Xenopus tropicalis: one gene and its partner. The protein of the gene in region 1 interacts with the protein of each later gene in a biochemical or structural test. Links are inferred from orthologs where the notes say so. Each region holds a gene or a part of one and is shown on either strand. Other genes may lie near its edges.

Evidence for each region. The genes of interacting proteins can lie anywhere in the genome.
Region 2: the proteins of gabbr2 (region 1) and kctd12 form a complex in vitro, tested with the Homo sapiens proteins (2 studies listed by BioGRID). The link is inferred for Xenopus tropicalis from reciprocal best matches to the Homo sapiens genes GABBR2 and KCTD12.

Annotation. Positions count from the first base shown.
Region 1 is NC_030682.2:77,690,082-77,696,412, forward strand, and holds the start of gabbr2 (gamma-aminobutyric acid type B receptor subunit 2), read right to left. Parts: upstream 3,499-6,331; 5' UTR 3,193-3,498; coding exon 2,797-3,192; intron 1-2,796. UniProt on the Homo sapiens protein: Component of a heterodimeric G-protein coupled receptor for GABA, formed by GABBR1 and GABBR2. Within the heterodimeric GABA receptor, only GABBR1 seems to bind agonists, while GABBR2 mediates coupling to G proteins.
Region 2 is NC_030678.2:126,319,408-126,325,518, reverse strand, and holds kctd12 (BTB/POZ domain-containing protein KCTD12), read right to left. Parts: upstream 4,174-6,111; 5' UTR 3,983-4,173; coding exon 3,008-3,982; 3' UTR 803-3,007; downstream 1-802. UniProt on the Homo sapiens protein: Auxiliary subunit of GABA-B receptors that determine the pharmacology and kinetics of the receptor response. Increases agonist potency and markedly alter the G-protein signaling of the receptors by accelerating onset and promoting desensitization.

The DNA.
Region 1 (6,331 bases):
CTAAACCCCTGATTATAGCCCAAGGCCCCTAATATTTTCTACCACTGGTCACATGACATAAAAATCAGTAAAATTAAAATGAAAGTAGTTAGGGCAGCATGAGTCAACTGATGTCCACGGATGTATCTGGTCAGTTTAATAGTCTGAAGAGACTACAGACAGAAGCTTATAGGGCTCCTCTGACACTTTCAATGGATTTCCATCATCATGGAGGATTTTATGTAGCAACAATGCATTGTTTTCCATAATGCACTGTATACATGGGTAATTTTAGATTGTATCTGTATTAAAAATGATTACAGGCATGAATACAGCTTAAAATAAAACATGGCATCACTGACTTAATACATTATTTATACTGACTGGTGGAATTTCATTATTTAGGGGCCAATAATATTGTTATTTAAAAATAAAAACACTGATTCTTACCGAATTAGGCACTATGTATCTAATACATACAACTATTATTACTAAATTTGGAGATGAAAAGTAAGAAAACATTCTGATTTAACAAAAAATGTTATTTCTACTTTTAAGACCCCTATGGCACAACATGGATCACAAAAAGCCCCTTTATTAAATCTAATATTATACAAATAGAAATTAATCATTGGCAGCTAATGGACTTTCTTGATTTTTTTTTATATGTATGTGAAAAGAAAGCAAGAGCTTTAATGAGTAAGGATAATAAGGGTATTTTGAATATTTTAGATATTATTAGATAATTAGAAAGTAAAAAGCCTACCAACTGAAAAATAAAATGAATTTGACACTGTTTAATATCTAATAAAAGCTAATTGTTCATGTAAGTGTTATATTGTTATTATTGTAAAGTTGTTTTACCCAAATCTAAATATTTTGGTATAGTTGCAGATGATATAATGTATATGTGCATATATAGAATACACCCCACATAATTGCCAGGCCGCTAATGCAAAAAAAAGCACATTATATATATATATATATATATACAGCCCAAAGTGAGGAGGGCTTTACATTGTGAAAGGCTTTAAAAACATCTACTTATAACATAACATATAACCTCCACACTTACTGGGCAAGTGGCATGCTGTTTAAAATGGGTGACTGTACACAAATTGTGTGCATCATTCTATCTATGGCAATGAACAGCTGTATATCTGAATGACAAATTTTTTAAAAATGTGCATAAAAATCTGACAGGATCAACAGAAGGGATACCTGCTTGCCACATATGAAAACAAAGAATAAAAACTCTATGGACAGCAGTACCAAAAAATGTAAAAATGATTTATGAATTAATTATGCTATACATCATTTTGTGGCCATTATAATTATTATTTTTATAATTAGTATTTATTTTGCAGCTATTTTAACTACATGACTCAGCCATGTTTCTGGCAGGTTCAGGTACCTGGAAATGTATGTATTGCTAATTGCATGGGGGTAGATGTAGCTGAACAGCTCCAAACTGCTTTGTTCCAAGGGTTGCCTTGGAAATGGCCTGAGCTGCTCAACAAGAAATGACTGCCATCTTCAGGCATTTGCTCAGTCTACAGCAGAGTGCTAAAAAATATTGACTACTACTGTGACTAAATTCTGTTGGAAAAAAAGGGGGTGGGGGCGCAAGGAATTAATTGCTGTACTAACTGTGTTCAGTTTCCAGCACTTATGTTATAATAGATAATAACAAAGAGAGCCACATCTATTTGTAATAAAGCAATGTAAGTGATTATTGCTTAAATTAAATACTGTTAATTACATGATGGAACAGTCCTAAGGCACACTGTTACTTGTATATTTTGGAAAATCATTGGACTGTACAGTTTGCTTTGGTGCAAAACATATATGTTAAGTGTTTTATAGTTTTGTATTGTATGTCTTGTATCAAATCATAAATAAATAACATTACCCATTTTAGAATAAATAAGGATTCCCCAACTAGCCCTACTGTACTCACCTAAAGGTAACAATGGAAATGGCCATTTACTCAAGAAATGTCAGTTACTGTAAGAGATAACTGTGGTAGTCTAGGCAATACTGATTAGTATTCAACTGCTAAATACAGCTAAAAGGACATAGTTCCTTGTGCGCATTAAATAGGCTGCAAAGGACAGCAAGAACCATTATCAGCCTCAGCATTTCATCTCATACCCAATTATATCCCAGCATTTCCCATTTATTTTTCATTTACAGTACATACTTAACGTTGTTTGCAAAAAATTCTAAATATGATGTGCATCTGTTGCTAAATCGACTGAGGGGGAGGGATGGACTTGAAATGAAATTCCAAAAATCAAAGTACACGTATGAGTCAATAAGGTAAATACAGCTTATGTGATGAAGGAGAGGTTTGGATAACATTTTATTGAAAATAAGATCCATATATGCATATATGTATGTATAGTCACAGTAAAAACATAGCAGGGAGGTAATCATGCACCTATGCAGCATCATGGAGGAGCCGTGCGGCAACTCTGCATTCTCCTCATCCCTGCGCTGACACCCACTTTTTCATATGCTATGGAGAAAGCATGTTGATATTTGTTGTGCAAACATATATAACATACATTTCCACACATCATCACTCTCTGCTCAGGTAACTGGTGTAACTGCTCCAAAATCAGTTGCAGGAGGTGCATGCCTTTACAGCCAATATAGCAGCAATGGGTGATATAGTTAACTCTTTCACTATCACTAGGTATGCCTGACTACCACACAGATTAAAGCTATTTTAGGTATACAGAGTACATCTAGGCTGCTAAGGTAGCCAATATTACGATAAACATTTGAAGGTGCATTAGTATGGGTTCTTACCGCTGTATCATAAAGCTTTAGGTCCAAGAAGTAAGGGTGCAGGAGGGATATATTGCGGATCTGATCGATAGCCAGTTGCACTGCGGGCAGGACGCCTCTGCCGATATTCCCCTTTGCCACAGTCTCGTTGAGGGGCATCAAGCCCATGATGGATAGCGAAGTGCCATTGGCAGGCTGTTCGATTGTCGTGCCCCTTGATCCATACACGAAACCAGGTCCCAATCCCAAACCCAATACCAGCAGCAGGCATTGCGGAGGCAGCATTGGCATCTGAATGGCAGGTTTAGGTGAGACGCCGGTGGCGGATTCAGCACCACCAGCGCCAGCAGCTTGTGGGGTTTCAGCACCAGGGAGAGCGCACGGCGAGTTCCAGCGCCTCCTCGGGGACGGAGCCATAGCTGTGTGTGTGACTGCAAGGTACCAGGAGAGGGGCCGCCTCACTCCGCTCTCATCTCACAGGCGGAAAGCGGGCATCACAGCACGGAGGCAGCACATACACAGCACACGCTCAAAGGCAAGGAGGGGGCACGGACGCCCCCAGTCCCTTCTTCGGTAATGCTAAAGGGCGCAGTGTTTTTCTCTATCATTTAGATCTGGTGTAGGCAGGGTGCAAAAGAATAAAAAGCAAAACGATAAACCGAGGGCAAATCATAGCAGGTATCCAAAGTGTAGGCTTCCAGGAGACCTCTTCCTCTCTTTCCTATTTGTTTTCCTTCGAGGATAAGGGTCTTCTACCCCCTCCCTTCTAAACACACACACACACCCCTGACAATCCTTCTGTCGATGGCGCCTCCTCCTCCAGAGTTCCCAATTGTAACCCCGCCACCACCGGTGCTAGAATCATGGGCATGAGCAGAGAGGTGTTTAGCACCAGAGAGGGAGCTCCTTCATTGCACTTCTACATCTGATCAGCGCTGTGCAGTCGTCTCTTGTAGAAGCAAAGTGTTGCAGATTTAGCCTACTGTGTCTGCACCTTAGCCAAGCACTTCCCCAGGGACCAGACAGACGCCAACCGTTCTAAGATCTGAAGAGAAAGATCTCTGGGCGCTGCGGAATCTCCAGCGGTGACAGACGCAGGAAGAAATACCGCATTGCTGCTCTACAGACGTTTGCGTCTAAAGCTTTGAGCGGTGTGCGATTGCTTCACAGAGGGATGAGAAGAGAATTGCTCGAATATATGTTTCCTGGCGCCTGTACAGTGGCTGGGATTGGCCGTCACATCGAAGTCTTGAAAGCTGGGCGCAGCACCTTGTGCTCACATTGAAACATCAAATGGTTTAGGCACAGGGCTCATAGATGGAGAACAACAACTACCAGGAATATATACATTTATTTGGGGTTGCCTATTGTACTGCTTGGTTGGTACTGTATTTGTCATAGTTTTGTCAACAATCATATGTTCTGTTTTTAGCTTTATATTCCTCCTTTTCGGTTCCTTTGAAAGTTTAGTAAATGTGTACTTCCTTCCAGCTGCTGCCAGTAGGTATGTGCAGGAGACAGCTACTGGACATAGGGTGAAGACACATGGAGCTACTAGTAACAGCTACTTGTGGTGGCTACTAAAATAGACAATGCTGATTATTTACTGATAATTGTCGCAATGTGTGTTTTAGCAGAGGCAATTCTCAGTATTGTCTTGGGCAGGGTATTTGCTGGGGTTTAGTAGCAATGAAAAAGTAGCTGCTACTAGTAGCTCCATGTGTCTTCAGACTAATTAATTTTCTTTTTTTATGAGCTTGTGCTATTTTTGCTTCTCATGCCCTACCTTTACTTTGGGGTAAAGTATTGGCCTTTCAATATGTAGCCTTGCTGGACCTGGGAGCATTCTTGTTTTCACTGCATAGGCTGCAGTGACATAGATTATGGCTTACAAAAATAGCCTTTTTATGGCTTGAACTTCTACAAATTCTTTCCTGTGCTGTCTAACATAATACATGTTTCATAAAATGTATAATTTATGTGTAACAAAAAGCTAGATTTCCTGCTTCTTCAAATTTAGAATTTTGCACTACTTAAAACCTCAATCCCCACACTTCAATAATTTGTATCAATACTAGTTTCTTGGGTTAAGTAGATACCAGTTTGACAATTTTTCTGTAATAACTGTGGTACATTCTACTAGGCAGATTTGCTCCAGGGTAGGGTAGGGTTAGTCTAATGACATTTATGCAACTTTAATTTTAAAGAATGTCACAGATATTTTTGTTTGATCAGTGCTTTGACTGGGACAATGTAGGATGGTTGCCTTTTTGTTATTAAGCCACTCCTATGTTATTTTGGCATGGTGTTTGAGATTTTTGATGAAATACAGCCACATAGCATGATTCAACTAACTACCAAACTTTACTGTAAAGCTTGGCTAATTATATCAATAGCGCTGCATAAAACTGGCCTGTGGCATAAACAAGCCACTGATCCAAACAACAATGTGAAAGTAAATCTCTTGCCAAAAGGAATGAGAGTTACCCAGCTGCAATGTAGGAAAGGCATTTGTGGTGAGATGAGGCCAGGATATAACTTTTTGCCAAAGTTCAATGCAATATGTTTCATGTAACTCTAATACATTAGCAAGGGATAGCCACCATGTCAAATAAGGAAGAATGGTGCAAAGCACAATAGAATACAGCAAGAGAACATAGTTTAGTCTAGTAAAAAACTGAAGGTTGGACAAATGTATATCCTTCAGCACAGCGCCAGATTGCACTGAAATGTATATCCCTCAGCACAGCGCCCCCTCCCCCCGTGCATGAGCAAACGCACGATAGGCGCGCACCCCCCCCCCTCCGAACTCGCGATCGCGCATGTGCAGGACTTTACACTCTGATACGGAGCAGTGACGGAGAGGTCCCCATTGCCTGTACTAGGGATAAAATGTAACATTTTGGTGTGGCCCCAAATTTGTGCCGCCCTAGGCCTTTGTGGCCTTTCCACAAATCCAGGCCTGCTTCAGCAGGACAATGATCCTAAACACAAGACCAAATTAACAATCAACTGGTTTAGGAGCAAAAAGCTGCATGTCCTGGAGTGGCATGGCAAAAGCCCTCATCTCAATCCAGCTGGTACTACTCACAGACTGAGGTGCACAAATCTCATTCGACTGACCTGCGCAAAAACCAATCAGTTTGCAAAGCTCATAAATACCTTAAAATACTTATATCTGTTATTGCTGCAAAAGATGCCTTAGCAAAACATTGAGGGGGGTTTGAGGCAAATAACATATTACTTCTTAATTATTTCACAGAATATTTTTTGTAACATAAACCAGTCACATTAAAGGTTGTTCACCTTTTTACAACATTCACAAATCTAACAGTTCACATTAATAGAACAAAATTTTCCATATACATCAGAATCATCTCTCTGCTGATCTCTCACTTCTGCACCCAGACCCTGTGCTGGGGGGGGCTATTAAAACTACAGTTCCTTTTTTATTCCCTTATACGCTGTCACACATAGAACTGGCAGTAGACTTAACTCCTACTGACTGTGTCTTTTGTCAGACATTGCTTCCTGTGCCTCCTGTGCTGCAAATCTA
Region 2 (6,111 bases), on another chromosome or scaffold:
TTTTTATTATGTCTGTAATTGGAAACATAACAAAGCCACCATGAAGAGTTTAGATTATGTCTTGTCGATATAATTAAAGAACATCACGGTCGATTGGTATGCACGAGAAGAGTTACGTAGTACAGCATTCTACCACTGACTGCTTTGGATATGGTACATTAGACCACATAAAGCCGGAAGCTTCTAAAGAACGTTATTGATATATTTCAGTGTTTATATTTTGCACATCATATTTTTTTTAGCTATATAGTCTAGTCTTCAGGATGCTAATAATAACAAAACTGGTTTTTGTTAGATGTTATATTATATACATGTACATGTAGAGTGGAGGTCTCTACAGTACAAAGGTCTCTACAGTACAAAGGATGGGTTAAATTCATAACCCCTGATAATGGCTAGTTCCATTTCCATTCTGGGCGTATTGCAATCAATAGAACCAGATAATTACATTACGGAACAGGAATCTTCAACCTGCAGCTCTCTATCTTCTATTGTCCAGCTCACAGAATTCCCCAACATGTTGAAGATCCATGTTATAATAAAACAATGAAAAATAATTATATTAGCTAGGTTGTCCATTCCAATACTACACACACCCGGAGTCCATAAGCTAGCAGTGAACAGACTAAGCAAAGTGTTGCACTATAGTTGATAATAACATTCTTATATAAATGAAACAAATGCAGAGACATACAAAACATTATACTGAAGCAGGAAACAATGGCAACAGCCATCATAAGGTCTGACAATCAATAAGTTAAAGCAATGGGTAAACATAACTTATGATTTCCAAGTTTGGTTGTTTTTTTAAGGATAAGTTTAATGAAATGGCTGCAGAATATGATATACATTGTATATAGTGCAAACATATAAATGCAACAGTTCTATTATCATGAAATCCTCACCCTCTTCCAAAAGAACACATTGCTTAGTGTACAAAGGCTACAAAAACAACTGGTTAAGTTTTGTTTATCTGGACTTCTGTTGCTGAAGATGTTTGCTATTTTCTTATTGCTTCTATGAACAGTTTAATATGATAGAAAAAAGAAAATAAAAATATTTTTTGCTGTCTTCAGATTCAGATTCTTGTGAGAAGAAAAGAGAGATCACATAACAACAACAATAACATAAAACAAGGTTATATAGGATGATAAAAAGACATCAGCTTTTCAATGCAGTTACCTCAACTAATAAAGTATAGGGTGGACAACATGTCTGAGGCAAACATATCTGGACAGAGTACTCTTTTATTGCAAGAAAAATAGACTTTCATTATCTCCATGCTAAAGCAGTCTTTGGTAAAGCCACAATTGCCTGAATTGTCTTAATCATTAAAAAAGGGGTTTTAGCTCTCTTTATTTAATGTTTATGTGCCAGGAAATATAGGATACTGGTGAATGATGACAATGAATGTTTACAAACTCTATTTGTTTTCAGACAACACAGACTATTGATTATTTCAGTGCTTATGACAAAGTGTAACCAAGGCCTGGCTTTAGGCATTAAACTAGAGATACAGCTTGTACGTTACAGATGTCATGTGAGCATTAGAGATGTTAACTGTGCTGCTCCTGGGCATACATTCTACTCAAACAGTAGGTCATTTCAGTTAAGGTCAAATAAATACACATTTAAAGAAAATCAATCTTCTGTCTAATGCTATTAATATTTCCCACATCTCTTATTAATTGTGACTAGTCTCCTGTCATACTGTATGAAAAGAGTATTGTAAATCAGGAGAAGTCACACACACACTATATGGCAATATATTGTGACAGGACAACATTGGCTTCCTGCTGTTACCAGGTTCCCTTAGGACCTTAACCATGGCAAAGCTAATGCAAAAAAATAGCATTTTGTTCATCAGAGAGAAATATCTAGTTTGGTATATTTCACCATATTATCATAGTGCTATTTGTTTTTGGGGGGTTTATGCAAATAGTATTGCTGGATGGTGTTCTCCACAATTTCCCTTACCCTTTTTAATTATGTTCTAATTACTTTCAGATGAATAGAGCATAAAAAATGCAGTAGAAGAGGAAATATGTTATTATCTATTATTGAAACAGGAGCCAGCTCTAACCAGCTCCACATTATACACTCGGCATGATACACATCAAGCCTATTTACAGCACTTCCAATGAACTCTGTGGTTGCACAGTTCTCATCTGTGGGGCTCTCAAAAATATGCTGATGTATGAATTCATCATAATGAACCACAACCAAAACATTAAAATGAAAGGAAGGCAGTGTCTTGCCAAACAGAAGCCGTAAAAATGTTTTTGTTCTTTAGGAAGAATAAAAAGCTTGAATTAAGATTTAATTAATTTCCTTTCTGTAAGAAGCAGAAACCACTGTTAAAATGACCATATAACATAAAGATCATCTTGCTAGCTGATTTGCCTTGAATAGTATCAAATAAAAAGTACATTTTAAAAGAGACTGAGCATAACAGGGGATACAAAGATAACCTGAAATGTTCTTTTACCCTTCTCATTTTAATTTGTACCTACAGTAAAGTATATATATTTATGCTTGAGGGTATATTGGTAAAGAAATATGTGTTTCTGCATATCAGTCAAAAACATTTTAAATGATGTTAAGCAGTAGCATTTTTTGTATACTTCCCATAACTGAAAAATAATCTGATCACATGGGTTATTTGGCGTCGAATGCACAGTCCATTACTAAAAGGAAGTTGGTAAAAGCTGTTTAGTAGCAGGTAAACAACATTAATAAAGGAATGGCAAAGTTCTATAGCAGGGGTGGTATAACACAGAGTATTAGAAACATACCTAAGCCAGAGCTGTTGCAATCTGTTGCATTATACAGTTACCAAATGTTCTCTCTGTTCATAAGAAACCTACATGTAGGAATTAAAAATGACAATATTGCAGTTCACTTTTGCTGTTGTCTTTATATGAGGAAGAAATACCTTCTTTTTGGGATCAGGAGATTAAATAGGTGTGACACTTTTTCTTTCCATTTCTCAGTCTATGACAATGTTTTAGTCCCTGCAGAAGACATACTCGGTGTAGCTTGTCCAGACTTTATCCTCACTCTGGTCATTGCTGGCAAAGGCACATGTTCCAGTGGAACTACATGCCACCATGTGGAAGCCAGCTTCAGACAGCTTGTCAAAGGCTTGTTCCAGGAAGTTGAACTTGAGGTAATACCTGGAAGTGTACCTCTCAGGTGGCCTATCAGGATCTCGACTCTCATTTAATGTCTCTCCAAAAACTTCCTTGGCCAAGGAAGTTTTGCCACAGACTGTGATGCGAGCTACCCTCCGAAACTTGGCATCTGCTTGAGCCTCCCGTCCTATAGTATAAGACCCCCTATAGCCAACTGTTATGTACCCATTTCTTCTTCCTTCCAAAGACTGAGAAGGTGTGAGGCGTGGAACTGAGGCTGGGCTGCAGGACGAGGAGGCATTGAATCGATATGGATCTAATGTTGGGGATGGAACCCCAGCTGCTGGAGATGTTGAGGCAGGGATAACAGCTGTGTCTGAGTCAGGATCGTGTATAGCTGCAGGGGTTAGAAGTAAAGGTGGTTCTTCACCCCCAATAGAGCTCTCTTTACTGACTCGCAGAGGATTTAAACGCTTCACCAGTTCAGGTAGCTGAAAGTGCTCTGCTTCTCTCTGTAAACGGCTTCTCTCAGGAAAGTAGTCAGGTAGGACCAGCTGCAGGTCTCGTAGGTAATCCAGCACATAACGAAATAAGAAACCATCCCGGTCTAAGAAAAAACGGCCTTTACTGTCCCGGGCCAGTTCTCCTGGTTTCTGCTGAGAAAACATTCGCCATAGCAGGGAATCAGGTACTGATACAAGAGTAGTGTGACGGGTCACATAAACTTGTCCCCCAACATTTAGTTCCACAATCTCTGGGAACAGAGGATCAGAAGTTTTGTTTTCTGTACAACCTCCACCGCCACCTCCACCATTTGGTAATCCACGTGCAGTATCAGGTAAAGCCATGAAGACTAGGAGAAGGAAAATATTAATATACCCCTTCTAAAACAAAAAAAATGAAAAGGGTAAAAACACTTGGAAAAAAAAGAAGCATAAAAACCTGTTCTCGAGCAAAGCACAGTTTCAGCTAGGGCTGTGCATGTGCAGCCAAGATACACAGAAGAGCCGACTAGTCTGCTTCCTTCCTCCGCTTCTCCTTGTGTTTCTGATTGAGAGAGATGGCAGGGTCTGTGTTTTTATGTGGAAATGTACACTAGAGGCGTGGGAGGGAGGAGGGGAACGAAGAGAGAAAGCCCAGAGACAGCTGATCACATACACATACAAAAAGGGGATGTGTGCAGTACTGTATTTGCAAGCTTTGCAGCTGGATCCCTGCTGTTATCCACTCAAATAAAACCTGCACAGCTCTGCAACTTGCTTCTTCCTTCTCATAAACAGTTATTATTTCAAGGCATAAAAAGTAACATTAGCATTCATTCAGTCAAGTAGTCAGCAGCTTCCACTCATCTATCTTAATGCACAGTCTTGTAAGAATATGTTTGCTGGAAAGGGTAATTATAACATGTGAGACTGACATTCATGGAATAAAGGCACAGTCCAAGTCTCTAAAGAGCTCTATAGTATATCTGATACCTTCCTTTGTATAGCAGGCACAAAAAATACATTGCCAACAAATATGACACACACATTAAGTAGCAGCAGAAAAAGAATAGTATAGAAATATAGTTTTAAAAAGAATTGTTCCGATAGCTAAGTGATAAAAGCTGAACCTCATCTTATTTAGTTATATATTAAGTCAGCAGTAAGTAAATCCTTTAAGGTTTATGACTGCATTCTTATCTACAAATAATAGGGTTTATGCAGCATGGCTGAATACAGAATATACTGAGCACTGCCCATAACAGCTGTAAAAAGATGTTAATAAAAGATAGCTGACTATATATATATATATTGTATATATATATGCATTATGTTAGCATTACAGTCTAAAATGTCCATATTAGTATGAGAACACATTATTTTTCTTTTTCTCTTATTTTGTTCTTCCAAAAAAAAAAAGTAAAATATGCTATAATATCATCATAACATACATTATTTGTGTATGTCTTTTCATTCAGATACATAGGGTAAAAGGGTAACTTTTTCAGGTAAAGAGGAATTTACAGGCTAAGGTTTTGTCACATTCTCATACACACACTATGGCCAGTGTTGGACTGAAGTGGCAGGGGCCCACCATAAAACCCTGGACCGTGGGCCCACTCTCAGAACTTTTATTCTTCCTCTCCTCCCTCAAACTCTTTATTATCCTACTCTTTTTTCTCTACATACTATACTCTATTCTTCCATCTTGCAAGCTTCCTTGTCACCATACAGAAATAAGGAATGACTATGAAATAGGCTAAATAGTTAGAAGCAAAAGGGCTCACTGATACCTGGGCCCACTGGGAGTTTTCCTGGTATCCTGGTGGGCCAGTCCAACACTGACTATGGCCAATATTATGGCCAATATTAACTAGAATACCCAGAAGAAACTGATACAAGCATGGGAAGAACTTGCAAACTTCGTGTATATAGAGGAATATTTATCAAATAAATCAAACAACTCTCTGTTCACTTGTATAGGTTGTTAGGGCATATCTGTAAATTCTCACTTCCACCCATTGAGAAATATGCCCCTACTAACCTGACCATACAAGCAAATAGAGATCTGTGAAACTTCCCTCTGGCACCTGTGGCAACCTCTGTTTTCCCCTATTAATAAAAAGTTCCAGTGTTACCTGGTAGGAAGTGAAATGTAGAACCTGCAAACCAGCAATGCTAACCACTGATATTATATGATATTAAACTTTTCAAATAACTTGTTTAACCGCTGTTTTATATACTTCCGAATTATGGTTTGGTTTATAATTACATTTATTTATAAATATTTCTGATTCCATATTATTATTATTTTTTTTTTTAAAGGCTTTATTTTTTCATTTTCAGTAAATAGATACCCCAAGGATGGGGCAGAGGGGAGAGGGATGGGGGGATAAAGGGAGAAACTACCAGTAATGAAGTCTCTTGTAGAATAAAGTTCAAGTTATTTGCAGTTGGAGTACTCATCAGCGGTAGTTTCCTGGCAGGAAGTCCAT